Macaca fascicularis: one gene and its partner. The protein of the gene in region 2 purifies or fractionates together with the protein of the main gene of each other region. This does not show direct contact. Links are inferred from orthologs where the notes say so. Each region holds a gene or a part of one and is shown on either strand. Other genes may lie near its edges.

Region 1 (2,342 bases), on a different chromosome or scaffold from region 2:
AGAAGCATCTGAAAGACATGGCCGTAAAGGTGGGTGGGGCTGAGGGTGCAAAGGGCCCAGTTGACCCTTTTAAGAACTTTTTTCTGTAAATCATGGGAAACCAAGGAGCACCCTGTTTAGATTTCTGTTATAACTAGCAGCATCAAGTGGAATGTATGAAAGAAAAGAGGGGACTGTTTTCTCTGTGGCTTCAGGCTAGCCCTTTCCCCTCTGTAGCCTGCAGTTTCTCCATTTGCAAAATGAGGTTGGACCATATCATGTCGGCCAACACTGGGCATGAACAGCCCATCCTGTTAAGCTGTACGGTTGACTCCCCTTTCTGGTGCCTTGGCTTGTCTTTGAAATGTGCATTTGCTCCCATAGGAAGAAGATGGACTGCGGATGAGGAAGACAGTGCAGAGCAACAGCCCCATTTCAGCGCTAGCCCCAACTGGGAAGGAAGAAGGCCTTAGCACCCGGCTCTTGGCTCTGGTGGTTTTGTTCTTTATTGTTGGTGTAATTATTGGGAAGATTGCCTTGTAGAGGTAGCATGCACAGGATGGTAAATTGGATTGATGGATCCACCATATCATGGGATTTAAATTTATCATAACCATGTGTAAAAAGAAATTAATGTATGATGACATCTCACAGGTCTTGCCTTTAAATTACCCCTCCCTGCACACACATACACAGATACACACACACAAATATAATGTAACAATCTTTTAGAAAGTTAAAAATGTATAGTAACTGATTGTGGGGGGAAGAATGATCTTTATTAATGACAAGGGAAACCATGAGTAATGTCACAATGGCATATTGTAAATGTCATTTTAAACATTGGTAGGCCTTGGTACATGATGCTGGATTACCTCTCTTAAAATGACACTCTTCCTCGCCTGTTGGTGCTGGCCCGTGGGGAGCTGGAGCCCAGCGTGGTGGGGAGTGAGGTCATCTCCACACAGTAGTCCCCACGTGGCCCACTCCCGGCCCAGGCTGCTTTCCATGTCTTCAGTTCTGTCCAAGCCATCAGCTCCTTGGGACTGATGAACAGAGTCAGAAGCCCAAAGGAATTGCACTGTGGCAGCATCAGACGTACTCGTCATAAGTGAGAGGCGTGTGTTGACTGATTGACCCAGCGCTTTGGAAATAAATGGCAGTGCTTTGTTCTCTTAAAGGGACCAAGCTAAATTTTTATTGGTTCATGTAGTGAAGTTGAACTGTTATTCAGAGATGTTTAATGCATATTTAACTTATTTAATGTATTTCATCTCATGTTTTCTTATTGTCACAAGAGTACAGTTAATGCTGTGTGCTGCCAAACTCTGGTGGGTGAACTGGTATTGCTGCTGGAGGTCTGTGGGCTCCTCTGTCTCTGGAGAGTCTGGTCATGTGGAGGTGGGGTTTATTGGAATGTTGGAGAAGAGCTGTCAGGAAGTGTTTTTCTGGGTCAGTAAATAACAACTGTCATAGGGAGGGAAATTCTCTGTAGTGACAGTCAACTCTAGGTTACCTTTTTTAATGAAGAGTAGTCAGTATTCTAGATTGTTCTTATACCACCTCTCAACCATTACTCATACTTTTAGCACCCAGGCCCAAGTCTGAGCCTAACCTCTCCTTGGGGACCTAGCTTGGAGTCAGGACGAATGGATCGGGGTGCAGAAGGTTAGAATCGAGGGCACCAGCAGTTGGGGGTGGGGAGCAGTGGGAGAGAGAGACTCTTCAGCTAATCCTTCTAGTACTAGTTGAGAGTTTGACTGTGAATTAATTTTATGCCATAAAAGACCAATCCAGTTCTGTTTGACTATGTAGCATCTTGAAAAGAAAAATTATAATAAAGCCCCAAAATTAAGAATTCTTTTGTCATTTTGTCACATTTGCTTTATGGGGGGAATTATTTTATCATTTTTATTATTTTGCCATTGGAAGGTTGACTTTAAAATGAGCTCTATCACTGGGAAATATGTGTTTCATGATTTAAATGTACGTGTGTGTGTGTGTATATATATATATATATATTTTTTTTTTTGGTTGTCTTCAGCTGACAGTATGAAAAATAAAACTGCTGAAAAAGCTGAGCACCTGGTCACCCTTGGCCTTCCATTGCTTTGGCCTTCAGTAAAAAGCAGCCTCGCTTCTAGGTCAGGGAACCATGCCATTGAGACTAGTAACAGGCGTTCTGGGCACAGTCCCACTGTGCACAGGTTTGAGAGGACAAGTTCATCAGAAGGAAGGCAGTCCTTAGAAGTCACATACATCAAGCCACATTGCTCCTAAGCCTGGCTGTGTTAAGCTGGGTCAGGTGCCTTGAAACAGGAGGAGTGGAAGTCTGTGGTTGGTGAGTAAGGAACTTCCTGTCT
Region 2 (3,661 bases):
CTAATACCAGTCATGGATACTTAGAGAACCATGGTGAGCACTATGCTAATCATTTTACTTGCATTAGGTCACTGAATTTTCTAATAATCCTAAAAGATCAATACTATTATTGTCCCCATTTCATCTGTGAATAAGAAAGCTGTATGAAGTTTGCTAGCTAATGGCTGGGTCTAGAACCTTTTTTTTTTTTTTTTTTTTTTTCCTTAAAGACGTGAGGTTTTACTTTGTTGCCCAGACTGGTCTTGAACTCCTGGGCTCAAGCAACCCTCTTGCCTCCATCTCCCAAAGTGCTGGGATTATAGGCATGGGTCACCGCACCCAGCTACACATACTTCTTAACCACCACTCCAACAAAAGTTCTGAACAGAAAATTACCTTTAAAAAATTTCTCTGTGTCATGAAAATACTTGGCAAAAGGTATTAATAAAATCTGACATACAAGGGATGTAATGATCCTTCAAAATCACTAATCTTATTGCTCAGAAGCAATCAATACATTGGCTTTTAAGATCAACATATTTTTTATATGAGTAAATCTTACATCCGTCTCTCCTTGATCAATCACATAGAAGTTATCCCCTTCATCACCTAAAAGAGGGTAAAAATGTTAGAAGCATATTCCAAACTAAAGAAACAAACTATCAAAATTAATACAAAATAATAAACTTATTTTATAGTGGTACTGTGAGAGAAGACTGTGTTACAAAGTAACACAATCTTTCAGGGAAAAAAATCAAAAATATATTTTAAAAGTCACAGAATTAATCAAAAATTTTTTTAGTCATCTCACGGTGAATACCATCTCTGAAAAAAACTGTTAAAAGCTGCATATGTGTACAAAGTTATTAACTGCTATGGCATCTATAACAAGGACATTAGAAACAACTCAAATAGTTAATAGCAAATTATCAGGCTGCCACAAAATGGAAATATATAACAATTCATAAAATGTCACGAATAAATAAGAAAATAAAAACAGGAAGATAGTCAAAAAGTCAGATCCATGTTAGTCTATGTAGGCAAAGTAAGAAATCTATATAAGTCCTAGAACCTTCTTAATAGACAGAGCTATACAATGAAGAATTTAGGTGTTTCATTTATTTCTTACTTTAAAAGTGATTAATAATCAATATAAAGGACATGAGAGATATATATGCTTCTGAAATTTTATATGACATTCAAGATAAAACAATATAGGCATTTCCTTTAAATTATAAACAAAACTGTATCAAAAATATTAGTTCCCAATAAAAAGTGTTCTGTCCATCTCAGAAAATTTTAATTTAAAAGAAACAGAAAAATCCAATAGCATAACAGAAAAAAAAAAAAAGTGGTAGGATCAAGGAAAACAAACTTCAATAAAACAAAACCACAAAAATCCTCCAGTCTCGCCTCCTCTCCCGTAACAATACTGCATGCTCCAGAAGCCCTTACCTTGCTGAATCACAGTTTCTCCTGCGATAAAGGAGACCGAAAACATGGCATCAAAAATATCACTGCGAGAGAGAGAAGGCCTCATGTTACATTTCACATGTCTCTTCCATGAGTTTCAAACATTAAGCTTAGTATTAAAGACCCCTGATTGTCATCTGGTGAACAATCATCAAGAGTTCTAAAACTTGCAACACGTGTTGAAAATAATTTGGGATCACACCCTTACTTGAAAAATAATGTTAATAAAGAGCCTGTTCCTACCTTCTCTCATTATCATCAAGATGTGAAAACAGCACATTCTTCTCAATGGCTTTTGCTAAAGCAGCCATCGTCTTGTAATCTTTTGGTATAACCTAGAAAAGAATTGAAGGTCAAATGACAATTCCATAAACCAAAAACATTTCATGTTTGCAACCTGTGTTTCAATTAAATGTCAAGCCACATTATGGTATTTAAACAAGACTGCTTCGAGTTAAGTATTTTCACTACAACACACTTGTACTATCTTTGATCCACAAACTACTCAACAAATATTGACTAATTAATCCCCTTGCCTACAGCCAGGCCTAAATATAAAGTCTGGTACCTGGTTCCCAGTTAACAACTAAAGAAACAAACCAAAACACCTTGACCAAGGTCATTATTCTGAGGCAAAACTAAGCATTTCATAATAATTAGTCATTTTAAAGTCTGTGATCTGTTAGTTTCATAAGCTTCAAGTGCGACAATTCTGTTCCCATTTAAGGTTAACAGCATAATTAAAATAGCAGCCTGGCTCTGAGGAAGAAGAGAATATAGGACAAATGAAGCTCGTAGAATAAAAGGTTAAAAGTCACAACATTTAACAGGATAGCAAAAACCAGACATCATGATTCAAGAAAAAAATCCCACCTCCTTCTACTGCAAAACAACAGCAGCAAGGAAATAACAAACCCCAAAATGCAATTATTCACTGGTTTATAATCACTATTAGTTATTTCCTCTGACAGCATGCTATTACAGCAACCTGTTTTCCAGTACCCAAGAACTATACAGGATGGATGAAGTTCTACCCCGTTTTGTATTTTACGATTCACTCATCAAAGGAGACTAGATGACCACCAAATGGGTCCCAAAAGCATCTCCCTGATGTTCAAATATCAAAACTACCTTTCTAACATATGATGTGGCATCTTCCTCCGTGTAGACCTCAGCGCTGATAGCACCTCGTCGCCTCCGACCTTTAACCACTGGGTTGGGTGGAGGAGGAGAGATTTCATCCTCCCTTGAGTCTGTACGAGTGCCTGCTTTCTGCAGATTCTGAATCTGTTTTGCCTCCTCCTGAAAGAAATTACAAGTTTGCAAAATGAGATCCTTCAGCATGTAAAGCTGGCATTCTCGCGTTCCAATGATAGTCTATCTCAGTCACTTCCAATCTCTTCTTCCATTAACAATGTAAGTTAAGAAGAAAAGACCGATTCCAAAAGGGGAAAAAAATAGAGAGTAACACTTAAAAAGAAACACTCTCAAGAGAATGTACCTCGGATGATAACAGATGCTATCCTTTATTAACGGGCAAAAGCCACCGGTACAAGCCATTAGTACTCACATGTGAGTAACAAATCAGATATTCATTAATGTCTTGACAACAATGATCTGTGATGCACACAACAGTAACACACCGCAAGACGATATCCTGAAAATTGGGTTTTTTTGGATGCTACTGCAGATAGCAAGTGACCCTCCTGCCAAACGAAATGTTATCAGGAAAAACAATTCAAGCCCAACATAGTGATCCAAGAATGTCTAGATTACCGAGTTACTTCATCAACTCAATAAGCCATTTTCTGGATCTGCCATGCCAAGACCTATGCTAGGCAACAGGAATATAAAAACAAATAGGAGAGGGTCCTGAGCCTGTGGAATTCACATTCTAGTTTGATCCCAGATAAAAACAAATAATGAAATGATGTGATGGTAATAATGAATTTAAATAAGATCATTATCTATAATACTTCTCCCAGCAGAGGTAGGATCATTCTTTGTAATCAAGGTTTAAACTTGAAGTTAAAAGACAAAAAGAGTTTACTAGGTTTTTAAAACTACCTATTGGACCAATTCAAATAAAACCTAAGATAAACTATTAAGCATTCTTTTTTCATATCTAGAGCCTTAAAAACAAATTCCTCTCAGATCTAAAGAATTAGTTGTTATGACTGAAGTAAAAGGGAAAAAATAAAAATGTGTT

Evidence for each region. Proteins that work in one complex are often made in the same cells at the same time.
Region 1: the proteins of PRKAR1A (region 2) and VAPB purify together in Homo sapiens (affinity purification with mass spectrometry; 3 studies listed by BioGRID and IntAct, counting the BioPlex papers as one, with this or other methods). This does not show direct contact. The link is inferred for Macaca fascicularis from reciprocal best matches to the Homo sapiens genes PRKAR1A and VAPB.

Annotation. Positions count from the first base shown.
Region 1 is NC_088384.1:114,511,489-114,513,830, forward strand, and holds the end of VAPB (vesicle-associated membrane protein-associated protein B/C), read left to right. Parts: intron 1-363; coding exon 364-522; 3' UTR 523-1,837; downstream 1,838-2,342. UniProt on the Homo sapiens protein: Endoplasmic reticulum (ER)-anchored protein that mediates the formation of contact sites between the ER and endosomes via interaction with FFAT motif-containing proteins such as STARD3 or WDR44.
Region 2 is NC_088390.1:74,877,914-74,881,574, reverse strand, and holds part of PRKAR1A (cAMP-dependent protein kinase type I-alpha regulatory subunit), read right to left. Parts: intron 2,755-3,661; coding exon 2,584-2,754; intron 1,788-2,583; coding exon 1,696-1,787; intron 1,497-1,695; coding exon 1,435-1,496; intron 589-1,434; coding exon 542-588; intron 1-541. UniProt on the Homo sapiens protein: Regulatory subunit of the cAMP-dependent protein kinases involved in cAMP signaling in cells.